2 linked regions of the Danio rerio genome follow. The protein of the gene in region 1 purifies or fractionates together with the protein of each later gene. This does not show direct contact. Links are inferred from orthologs where the notes say so. Each region holds a gene or a part of one and is shown on either strand. Other genes may lie near its edges.

Region 1 (6,533 bases):
TCAACTATAATCCCAGTTCAACATTGCACATCCTGCAGTGTGAATATTGCAGAGTCACATGTTGCAAAATCTATGCTGAAACAATATATTGTACAGGCCAACTTTCTAGAATGAAAAAGTCCCTATCAGTAACACCCACACACACACACACACACACACACACACACACACACACACACACACACACACACACACACACACACACATCCGACTAGCATTAAAAAAAAGTCTGAGGCTGTGAGGTAAACAAAAGACTACAGGCTCAACTTCCTGTCTCAATAGGAAATGTCAAGTTCATAAATACTGCACTATCAAGTGATTTCATGTGTGCCTTTTTCCCCCCAAGCAGACCGAAATTCTTGTTAGGTGAAAGCATAATCTTTCTGTCTGTAATACCAAAGATACAGTCTAGCAGTCTACAGTTTTAGGTTACAAAAAAAGCTATGCTTGCGATTTTAGCTATGCTGTGGAAAGCCATCGCCCTGCTGTGATATTCACTGCACACTACAATTTGTTGATAGCAGTTGATTAAAGCATAATGCTGATCACCATGCTGAGCTGCATGTGTGATTTTTTTAATAAAGCTGAAATAATTACAAACTAAATTGAACTGAAATAAGCAATGCAATTAAAAAAAACAAGCAGTGGAACTTACCCATCCTCCTCTCCATCAACAGGTAAACTCTTCAGCAGGCTGGCCGAGGCGGATAAGGCATTGACTCCACTGCTTCCCTCTGGACCACGAGAGGTACCGGTTTGGGAGGCACTTTCACCACCGGCTGGCTTGGTTTGTGCGAGCAGAGCCTGGTGCTGTAACAGAAGTAGCTGGGCATCCTCCAGCGGCATCACCGAGGGCCGGGTGCTAACAGCAGGTTGCGGCCCAGTCTCCTTTGAGCCGTTCTGAAACAAACTGGACTGGGGATCACTTTGAATGTTAGGAGGCACGCTTGATGAGGTCACGGCTGGGACGAACTGGGTGCCACGGGCTTGACTGCCGAGCTGTGACTGCTGCTGCTGCTCCATGGAGGGTTGTGAGGTGAGCTGCTGGCCTGGTGTCTGCTGTATAAGAGTGGTGCCAGTGGACTGCACCAGCTGCGGCACAACCTGGACCATCTGCGGGGCGGGTGTCTGTTGTGGCTGCAGGAGCCCTTGCGGAAGTGGCTGAGCAGTAGGGGGCTGCGAGGAGGGTGTGATCATCTGACCATTACCAGCGAGAGCCACAGGAGGGATGGAGGCGGACAGGTGGGGCAGAGTTTTTGTTGACCCAGGTGGCACAGTGCTCAGGATCTGCTTGGATTGGGAGAAGTCAGATGGCAGGCTGCCTCCCTGGCTTAAGGGGTTAACATGTGTTGGTGCTACCTGGGCTGGTGCAGCTGGCTGCTGTGCGGGCGGATAGCCCATCTGCTGCTGGGTCACCACAGGCAGAGCTTGAGCAGGAGGGGATTGGGCTGCTTGGGCATATGTCAGTTTGGGCATATGAGAGGGTAGAGGTGCAGACGATTGAACAATCGTGGTCTGCAATCCTCCGATAGATGCAGGCGGTTGCTGCTGAATGTTTGCTGTTGCCGGCATCGGAGCTGCTGCATTCGTTTTAAGATGCACTTGAACTAAGTCTTGGGGTTGCATCTGAGACATGGGCTGCTGGAAGGTCTGCTTCACAGTAGAGGGGCCGCCCGTTTCACCGCTGCCCAGACTTTCAGTGTAATGGCTAGCTGAGCTGCTGACAGAGCTCCCGCTGACTGTGTCTCGGTCCTGTCCCGCCACACTTTCAGGCACACACTGACGGATACTTTCCACTGTTCGGGTGCTAGGGGCATTTTCAGAGGATGCCACATTTGGGGCTTCCTTATCATAGTACTCTGTACAAGTCCATCTACCCTTCTTAAAAGGCTCAGAGGTAGAGTCCAATTTGACCACTCTGAAACGTGAACTGGTGGAGGCAGGAGTAGGCACTTGGGCCTGCTGAGGCTGAGCGCTCATCACTGGGACAGAGGGTGCAGGCATTGCATGCTGCCCCATGACAGCTGGCCCCATTTGCCCTCCACCTGTTGACGCAACACTACCGGAAACCGTGGCAGCAGCGGTGATGCCCATGCCGATTATTCCACTGGGAACGTGGGTCAAGTTTGGGGTTTGGTTACTAATACTATTCAAAGCAGAGGAGTAGTTTACACTGCTACTATTGGTAGTCTTGCCACCCACAACAGGCACACTGGCAGAGTTTAACACGGAAACATTATTAGTTAAAGTATTACCAGTACTAATCGTGGCACCTGAAGTCACAGAAATCACTCCAGTTCCAGAGGCGAGAGTAGCCAAAGGCTGTCCGATGGCACTAGTTGTGCCAACAGAGGCATTCTCAATCAATCCCACCACATTTGAAGGCATTTTCTGGCCTGTGCTAGCCGAACTTGAGGTCACCACAGATGTGACCGGGGCACCCAAAGGTACCCCAATCAGTGTCCCTCCAGCAGGATGGGTTTTTCCAGAGGAAACAGGATTATGATGGTGATGATGGTGGTGGTGGTGATGGTGGTGGTGAACAGTTCCGTTAACCATGGTGCCATGCAGGTGTGCTTGGGTTATAATGGGTGGCTGGTTGGGTGACAGGGCACCAGGGGTCTCCGCCTCATGAAAATTATTCAGCGTCTCCTCAGAGGAGCTTCTTTCAGGACCTCCTGAATTGTTGGCCCGTGGAAGAGACACATCCATGATTTCAGAGGATGACAAGTCCTCTGTGTGGGACTCATCCAGGTCGTCACAACTCTCTGTGTCTTCTGTAATGCTGTTGTTGGTGCTCACAGATGTCTGCGCCGGGGTGACGCTGGTGATCTGGAAGCCACTCTTCTTCTTCATCTGTGCAACTGCAGTGGGCAACGTTTGGGGTAACATGGGTGTCTGCAAGGGGATACTCAGGCTATGCGGAGGGTTCTGGGGCCCGAGCGAGGACGCAGTCTGCGTTTGAGACTGAATCAGCACTGGTGGGGAATATTCATCCGCCAGCATCAAGTTGTTGCTATTAAGGCTGGTGCTTGCTGAAGTTGTCAATGTAGAGGAACCACCTACTGTGCTGCTGCTGTTCTCCCGTCTGGGTAAACTCATGGGGTAAACCATTTTTCGGGCGCTGCCGGAGTCTCCGGATCGTTCGTGGTGATTCATTGCTGGAGTATAGTCTCTGACAAAGTTATAAACGCAGCTCAAGAGAACAAGCTCTTTTGGGAAAGCAACTTCAAGCCGTTCGAGTAATTTCCACATAAAACCAACACGTTCTTCTAACTGCCACAATAATTCCACTTGAGGTGTATTTAAATGTCCACCATGAGGAGCAGGCTAATGCCAATGCTAAGTTAACAGTCGCTAGCGAGCTAGCCGACACGGATTCGCTTCGGCTGTTGTTTTCAAAGGTATATCCTCACTAAATCACTCAGCACACCATATCGGTGAAGTTTAAGCGTGCAGGAGTCGACACAGACGGCCGAGGCGATTAATATCCAACCTTATAACGACACGGTTTCTCCCCATCACAGTTCAAACTGCCAGGCGCATTTTCAATTGTTGTATCGCAGTCACCAGAGCACGAAATCACACGAAACTAAGTCCTCCAGCCGGCGTCAGATGACAGAGAGAAAGCGAGCAACTCAGCGCTGTCCTGCTTTATTCCATCCCGTGCTTTCTTTTGTTTTATTCCTGTGTTAGCGCAATGTCTCTCTCCCACTCTGCTCCTATTCACCAGCTGCCTCCTTGTAATGTAGCCTGTGCTAGTGCTATGAGCCTGTGACGAGTCCCCGAAAAGGGGAGGAGAGCGCGATAACATGGCGACCGCGCATGGCAGTTCACGTCCACCCGGCCAGACATAAAGCCCAGAGAGTCTGGCGAGGATGGGCGGAGGCGAGGAGGGAGGGGGGTTTCCAGGAGACGGTCGACGAAGAGTTCCGAAGAGGCCCGAGTGGAGCCGAGTGCGACCAACTGTGTTGGTTGAGGGGTGTTTCTTATTATAGCCTTCGGTAACTGTGGCAGCAAACACTCAGAATAACATCTTTTGTCCGCCGTGGTTATTATTATTTGACATTGAAGGAGAGACGAAAAAGGCAGGGCATAGATTTCTGGTTCCCAGTTTTAAATGTATAAAATTTTATATTTATAAAAATCGACTTCAGATTTAATTTTGAACATAAATTAATTATAAAATATAACCTACTACAGATTAAACATATGAACGATTAAGCAAAACGCTATTTTAAGTTAGCTGCTATTGTGTGTGTTGGCCTATACAGGCCAGCTACATCAACAAGATGCAAACAGACCTTGTGACAACAATGTTGTCAACATAGTCCAGAGATTTGTTCTGTTTTTACAAAACAACTCGTCTGAAAGAGAACCCAGATATTTCCACAGACAGAAAAGAGCAACCAAACACATCTGCACTGACACAGTTTTTTTTTTTCACACAATCTGATTGTTGCTGTTTGGGGAGCAGAGAACTAAAGTTCTAGGTGCAGCAGACACAAAAAAAAAACATTCAGCTGTTTTACTTTAACATGAATAATATCCAAAATGTGAACTCAAAATATATGCTTTGTTTCAGACAAGCTACACTATAATACAACAGGAATTTATTACATGTGTGCTGATCCAACTATATTTAGCTTTCAGCTGTGATTGTGAGAATACCATCTTTGTTGTCTGGAACAAGTTTCGCATTATAAACCTCAGATATTTATACCCACACTGATTATTTATACATTCTACCAGAAACTTATACAATCTGTCTCTGAAATAAAAAGATAAATGCAGTGAATAAAAACTTCTTCATCCCAACAATTTCTAAAATGGATTGATAGTGGATTTTTGTGAGTTGTTCAGGAAAGGAATTTGTCTGACAAATCATTTGGTTCTTAGATTTTTGTTCTCAGATTTTTTTATTTTTGTTTACAAACCCAGTCATTGTGTCATATGTGAAAATGTAATAGAATATGTGAAAATTTAATATATAATACATTTTCTAAATGACAATATTCTTATTTGTAATTCTGAAAACACCTTATCAGAGTACTATTTTTTCTTCTACAACACAAATGAACATTTAACACAAACGGACCTACTAATGGCAAATCCAGAGAACAGATAATGATTTTAAAGACTCTTGTTAATTTTTTGAGCATCTATGTGTAAAAATGCTTGTTATATGTAAAAATATTCTGTTTTGTGGGCTAAGCTCAGGCCCACAGCAAGCCTGGTGAAAGTGGTGGTTCTCAAAAAGTGAACCTTTTTATAGTTGTACATCTACATTTTCTTTCCCAGAGGTGAGTTGCAGCTGAAAGGGCATCCGCTGCGTAAAAACTTGCTGGATAAGTTGGCGGTTAATTCCGCTGTGGCGACTCCGGATTAATAAAGGGACTAAGCTGACAAGAAAATGAATGAATAAATGAATCTACATTTTCTATTTAATTATGAGATTTAAATACATTTTAAGCATTCATTTAGCTGGATTGGCTAGTCGGATTAGCTTGAAATATGAAAAAAATACTTATTTTTTAAAATACAAATTTATTACATTTATATATCATTATGGAAAAAATAATCTGTTTTAAATTAAAAACAAGCCTATTGTCATTTATTTGGCAAAATATAAATAACAAACTGTTCAGCACATTTAACGTTCCTCTTTAAAAAATTTGACCATTTGAATAATAATAATAATAATAATAATAATAATAATAATAATAATAATAATAATAATAATAATAATAATAATAATGATAATAATAACAACAATAATATAGAGCTTCACAATGTTTCTAGTCTCTCTTGTAAAACATGTAATTTGATGGGTTTTTCGATAGGTTATTTTCACTATTTATGATGGCATATGAGTAAAAATAGGACAAATGAGCTAATGTATGAAAAAAAATTCTGGACCTTTGTCAGTGAGGGATGGGTCTTTGAACGACCTGAAGCCCCTCTCTGGCTATGGTCCTGTGGCTAATAGTATGCAGATCTCATAAACAGACAGCTCTCAAAATGACAGGGCACCAAATGTCTTACACATATCTTGTGAATTATTACATCAAACTGGCAATTTTTGAGTTGCTTTTATAAAGAACTGACAACATGCGCCTAAATGTAAAATGACCCAAGTGCAGTGATCATGTATACATTTTATATATATATATATATATATATATATATATATATATATATATATATATATATATATATATATATATATATATATATATATATATATATATATATATATATATGTGTGTATACATGATCACTGCACTTGGGTCATTTTACATTTAGGCGCATATATATATATATATATAAAACAGATTAAAATGATAGTTCATAAAAAATGAAAATTCGGTCATCATTTACTCACCCTTTACTTGTTTCAAATCAGTTTGAGTTTCATTCTTCTTTCTTTAAAATAGGATATTTTGAAGAAAGCTGGAAACCTGTAACCATTTACTTCCATAGTATTTATTTTACCCACTATTGACCGATTTTCAGCTTTCTTCAAAATATCT
Region 2 (6,507 bases), on another chromosome or scaffold:
TCTCCCGCTCCCTCTATGCCGGTCATTTATGTAGGTCCGCCTTCATGAAAGCTGATGCCTGTCATTTCTGTAGGTCCGCCTTTTTAACAGCTGATTGGTCAGGAGACCGACCTATCATCATTTGGCGACGCAGCGCGGGAATGTAAAAAGCAATTCAGGAAGAGCGGGAGAGAGAGCGCTTTTTCCTTTGATCTCGTTTTTCGTGTATTTTTCTGACATGATTATGATTTTCGTTGTTTTTGCTTAACTTTCGCTTGGGTAAAATTATTTTGCATTACTTTTGCCCACTTTAAGAAATTTTGTGAGGTTTGTACATTTTTATTTCAATTGATTTGTATATTATTTTTTAGCTCCGCTCCTTCCCGACAATATAGCTGTATCCTCAAGTTCAGTCTTAGTGTAAGGTGGATAGGGAAAATGTCATACGATTTCCATTTTGCAAACACGTAGAAAATGTATTGTTAAAGACATCAGGTAAGAGGTGAAGGTCATCTTTGTTTATTTTATTCAGTATAGGGAAGAATGCGGCGCACGGCGCTGAAGACCTTTTTTTTCTTTTCATCAGTTTTAGCGAGGTAAGAGGGGTTATTCATGAGTTAGAAGTATTTTATTATATTTATTTCTTTTGTTTGTCTTCACTATCACCCCCTTGTTCGAGTTTAACTAATTTTTGTTTGATACTTTTGTTTGAATTTGTTACTTTATTATATTATTTTATTAGTGTAAATATTACTTTTTTTGTATATTTGGGCATTATTCTGGTTTTACTTTTGTACATTAAATCACTCTTGTTGGCAGTTCTGTTGCTTACACCCTCACATTGTGAAATTACCACACTTTTTAAATGTTTTTCCTTACAAGTAAGTTTCGTGAAACAGTTGAGACAGACAGGCAGGCGCTTTGTCTACGACACAAATTCTATTCCTGTACTCAACTGGAAAACCAAAATGTTTCCACACAGATGACTTAAATGTGTCTGGGGGATCTGCAATCTCAGTACTATGTGAAGCAGCCATCCTGCGTCCAGTAGTAACGAGTGTGATGCAAGTCACATGACATAACATGCACTAAAATACTAACTTTAGAATATAATATTTAGAACAAATCCTCATCATTACTAAAACAATTTAATCAAATATGATATTAAAGATGTGTTTAAATTGGTTCAATTAGTTAGAGACAAGTGACGTCAACCTCAACAATGGGCAGCAGGGGGCGTGACTATTTCGGTTTGGTTTTAATATCGTTACACCCCTAATGTCCGAATTCATAGAACTCGAAAATCAGTAGGGGAGAAGTACCAGGATGACTTACTACTTCCGGCGAGATTCTGAAATGCGCATCCCATGCACGCTGCGCTATCCCATAATGCCCCATGAGAGAATTCATGAATGGAAGTGAGGAGACGCAACTGACGCAGGTAGGTCACGTGACCATGACAAACTGGCGGATGTAGTACGTCCGAATTCCATTCATACTTTTCACATTCATACTGTATAGAGCGTACTTTTTTAACGGCTGAGTAGTATGTTTAAATTCAAATGCAGTAGCTACTGAGTAGTAGGCGGTTTCGGACACAGCCTTAACTTTGTGACAATTGTTTTTTTTTAAATGTCAATCTTCATTGTTCAATCTGGATTAGTTTGATCTTACCAATACTGATCCAAGACAATAACATACCACCAATGAAAGATGAAATAGAAAAGTGGCCTAAAAAAAAGCAGTGACCTCTTACTGGACCAAGCAATAAACTATATACCTCATGAAATATACCAGAAAGAGCTCTGAGGCTGACATTACAGATTAGGATGTGTATGATTTTTTTCAATCCAACGATCATTAAGCATGTACTTATTTCATTTAATCCACACAAAAAATATATTTACAGTTAAATTTGATTCAAATTAAGTACTTTGGTTGATATTTACAAACGTTGTGGTGAAATGACACTAATGACACTATTTTAAAGTATAATTGTTAGTGTTCATGTAGATTAAAGAATCCTTATTAAATAGGTTAAAAATAAAAATTTTATATTTTAAATTACAAACAATTATACATTAATAAGTTTTATAATAAATATATATTTTGAATAAGTTACAAATAAACGCATATGGGTCAAATAGGAGTTGTCCAATTTTAGTGACCACGTTAAATAAAATTGTCAAAAGAATTTAATTATATTGCATGCACATAAAAAGAAAGTAATGTCTACTTCAAAACTTAACGCTTTAGTAACTAAACATAAAAACATGGATTATGTTTTGAAACATGACACTTATGTTGAAACGAAACGACATGCTTGTCCTGACCTGTGCATATCAAAATATAACATGTCATTAAATAATTCTTGTAAATATGCCTGGTAAGATTTTAAAACAAAAACTATTGATAGAAAAACTGAAATTTTGGTGTGAATCTTTAGGAAATGGTGAAAATAAACAAAATACAAATGTTATGTACAACTGGGAAAAAACAAGGTCGTAAAACATTTAAAAATTGTTGTGTTCAGCACATCTAAATGAAGCTTCTTACCTCACTAATGAAACCAAGCTGGACCAGTTCCACAGCCAACTCCTGTACATTCTCATCTAACACACACACACACACACATCATTCTTAAGTTAGTACTGTTTTTGCAATAATTACACATGCAGCTTATTTATTCCACATGCTCATGTTTAGATAGAGTGTTGCGTTTCTTTGATATTATTATAGTAGGTAGTGCTGTCGCCTTGTTTGAGCCTCGGCTGGGTCAGTTGATGTTGTGATGTTGTTGACCCCAAATTATTAAAGGGACTAAGCCGAAAAGAAAATTAATAACTGAATGTCTCTGATTATTTTACTTCTAGTTAAATTGGGTAATTTTTTTTGGGTTATCATTTGTATAAAAAAATATAATTATTTTTGTTTTGTGTTTATAAATATATGCAAATTAGAATTATAAATAATAATTCAGTATAAATAATTCATAATTTATAACATACGTGATGTTGCATTTGTGTCTGCATCAAATAAAATTGATAAATATGATAAAGAAAGCAATCAAATGAAGTGTCCAAATACTAATTAAGTTCTAATCATTTTAATTTTATGAAAATTAGGTGTCAACATGTGGCAATTCTTAATCAATCTGATGCACTTCTGAACAGCTCTAATGCTTCACTGACAGTTCAGAACAAAAACAAGAATGTTAGACCTGAAACATAAAACATAACTATGGTTTAAATCCCTGCTGGATTAAACCGAACATGTACTCGGGTAGCTAGCTAACAGTTTTACCATCTCAGCAAGCTTCTGAGCTAAGCTGACTTGAAAGACAAAACCGACTGCACTGATGCCCATTATAGCATCTCTTGCAGCTGAGAACGCAACACACTTGTGCAGCATTGTAACACGTTTAAGGGCACGACAGAATGTGAAATCCAACTGTGTAGCTGGAAGTGTTTACATAGTTGTGTAGAGTTTGTTTGAGGCCTGATAAAATACTCACTTGGTGCCAAATCACAACTCAAGTGTCGGTTCAGCTTATCTTCCAGTTTTAGAAGTAAGGTCAGCTATAAAAAGAGAAGTGAAGAGTTATGAACGTAGACTAAACCTATAACATCAGCCCAGTAATAAACACAGGGGACACAAAAAAAGAACTTACATGATGTTTCGCTCCTTCCTCAACAGGCTCAATGTTGCACTGCATCTGTACGACCTTAAATGAGAGAAACAGAAAGCGAGCGAGCGAGAGAGAGAGAGAGAGAGAGAGATTATGACAAAACACATGACCCCAAATAACCTAATAATAAAATAAATAATGCTGACTATATCCCATACAAATGTTTATAAAAAGTTCAAATTATGGTTTTATGGATTTGTTATGAAATACAGTAGCCTAGTGACATTTAGAATAAATATACAACCACCACCACAAGCATACATCATTAAAAAAGGAAAATACAGTATATTCTATTACTTCTAAAATGTTAACAATATCATAATAATTGATATAAACATTATTTTATCTAAACTAGTTACTATTTAATTCAAGTTTATCTGTATGGCACTTTTCACAATAATTATAGTTTCAAAGCAGCTTTACAAAACATTATTGCATTACAATCAAATTTAGAAAAGTTAAGGTTATCAATTACCATAACTTTATAAGCTACTAACAATTTTAACTAGTAACTAATAGCTTTTAACAAGTACTATAGCTTTTTACAGTTAACACATGTCAACTGAAGAATTTTTTATCTGAGCTGAGCGTATTTTTTCAGTTGATGCCAATAGAAGCACTGTTTTCAGTACACCAGGGGCCTCATGTACGAAGACTTGCGTGGAAATCTTACTAAAACATTGCGTACGCACAAAGCTGTAAATGTGCGTACGCAGAAAAAAATTCAGATGTATGAAACACTGCGTACGCCGAATCTCACGCATATTCTTTTGTACATCTGAATGAACGTGAAACTGAGCGCAACATGCACGAGCACAAAACCACTCCCTGCCTCCTCCCCCGTATGAATATGCTAATGACTATGCTAATTGCAAAACCCAACGAAAAAGCAACGGCAAAATCAAGCAAAAAGAGAAACTTTGAACAGAATGTGAACTGGAGGTGCTGCTTTCGGAGGTAGACTGGAGAAAAGCGGTGTTATTTGCAAGTTTGTTCTCCGGAATTAACAACAAAAGAAAAAAAATAGAGTGGGAGAGTTTAGCTGATACGGTTAACACAGTTGGGTCTGAACATCGCACTGAGTGCATTAAAAAAGAAATAGTGTGGTTTATATCTGTAAAATGTTGCAGTTCTCTTAGCAGTCTCAGTGGCGCACCTCATAAGAAGCATGTGATCATGTACTGACACGCTCGAGCATAAACTCGGCTCGAATCCAGCGTCTGATAAACTCTTTCTTCTTTTTTCCCTGCTACATATCAGATTTTGCCCACTATTTATCACGAGAAAGACAAGTAGGAATCACCAATAAGTTTGTGCATCATATTTTATTTGCACATTTATTGAATGGTAATGTTTCTGATTCACGCATGCAAATTCATCTTCAGATAGTGTCTTTATAGCAATGTGCGTGCAGTAGATAGCTCAGATTACATTGGGAAAACAGGCGACCGCTGCAAATTGTGCTTTAATGTTTAGCTGGTCAACTGTATGGTATGGAAACCTTATATACCTGCTAGATGAACCTGTCTCATACAGACGCCATTGCAAGGATCAGACACTTTGTAGAGAGGAATTTAACACAACTGCCTCTAGGAGTCGCCAATGGAAATAAAACAGACACGCACAAAAAATGTGCGTACGCCTGCCAGAAAGCTGCCGTGAAGCTGCGCACATTCCCACGTTCAGTTCATTGTTAGTAAATCCAAACGTGAGCAATTCTGAGCGTGAAACCTGGCGTACGCAAAGTTTTTTTTTCCCCAGCAGTACACCAGGAGTGTCTGTTTCACATGAAGCGCTAAGTGCTTTTTAAATCCACAAAAAAATTAAAAATAAAACACACTGTGATAGACTTGTAGACAACTGTATTGTTGGAGCTTAATGTTTCTGCCATTTTCCAATTTAGTGCTGATAAGAATGATAGCTCTTGATTTATTTGGCTTTAAAACTAGCGTAAGTCACTAAGACATTATGGATGCTGAAATAACATTCTTCTGAGCTGATCTCATACTGCTGTTTACTGCATGATGTGAGAAAAATTAAAACAGTAACTGCACTAAAAGTGAACGGAATAGCTTTACTTGCTTAAACCATGGCCTAAAAGAACCACAAGATCTCGACAGTTTGATCTATTAAACGCTTTACTTTTGGAACATTTCTTTTAATGACCCATGCAGCATGTGGTTAGAATGTGTGGTACCTTTTCGTTTAGCTTTTTGTGCGAATAGAATATCAGTTTGTTGTGACTGGTCTATCTACTAGTCAAAAATTATATGCCCTTAACCATATCTGAATTTCAGTAACAGAAGCTTTCTTAGGTAAACCTAGTAATCAAACTGAAATGTTGTTGAGCCCTTGTTCTTGGGAAGGACATGCAAAATGAATTGCCTCTATAACACAAAAACAACAACAGTAATGTTGACAACATAAACCAATCTCTTTGAGGCCTCAAGCTACAACTGTAGTATTTGAGGACTAGTACAAATCCGGTTTCCAAGTAGCCAATGAAGAATATAGGTTTTCAACAAATTTGCATAATTTCAACCTATGTAGGTTTGTACAGGAAACAAGACTGAGATTATTAAAAACCCATTTCAGGAAGTTTGTTCTTTCAGGAGAGAATTCAATCTATCCTTTAAACTATGATATAATAAAATGTAACAAATTACAACACCACAAACTACTGTCAAGGCTAAGTTGACTTGGGCTCAGATCCCGGACGAGCCCCCGTTTGTTACAGCTTAAGAGACAGTTCACACAGATTGCGTTTTTTCTTTCCAATGCACTGCTGTTCTATTGTTTTTCAATGTAAACACACAATTGACAGATGTTTGAGATGTTAC

What was found. The genes of interacting proteins can lie anywhere in the genome.
Region 2: the proteins of tsc22d1 (region 1) and nrbp1 purify together in Homo sapiens (affinity purification with mass spectrometry; 6 studies listed by BioGRID and IntAct, with this or other methods). This does not show direct contact. The link is inferred for Danio rerio from reciprocal best matches to the Homo sapiens genes TSC22D1 and NRBP1.

Annotation. Positions count from the first base shown.
Region 1 is NC_133184.1:20,415,147-20,421,679, forward strand, and holds the start of tsc22d1 (TSC22 domain family protein 1), read right to left. Parts: upstream 3,807-6,533; 5' UTR 3,256-3,806; coding exon 656-3,255; intron 1-655. UniProt on the Homo sapiens protein: Transcriptional repressor. Acts on the C-type natriuretic peptide (CNP) promoter. Acts to promote CASP3-mediated apoptosis.
Region 2 is NC_133195.1:28,697,952-28,704,458, reverse strand, and holds part of nrbp1 (nuclear receptor-binding protein), read right to left. Parts: exon of another isoform or gene 5,430-6,507; intron 4,309-5,429; exon of another isoform or gene 3,704-4,308; coding exon 3,650-3,703; intron 3,558-3,649; coding exon 3,494-3,557; intron 2,592-3,493; coding exon 2,536-2,591; intron 1-2,535. UniProt on the Homo sapiens protein: Required for embryonic development. Plays a role in intestinal epithelial cell fate and proliferation, thereby involved in the architectural development of the intestine potentially via the regulation of Wnt-responsive genes.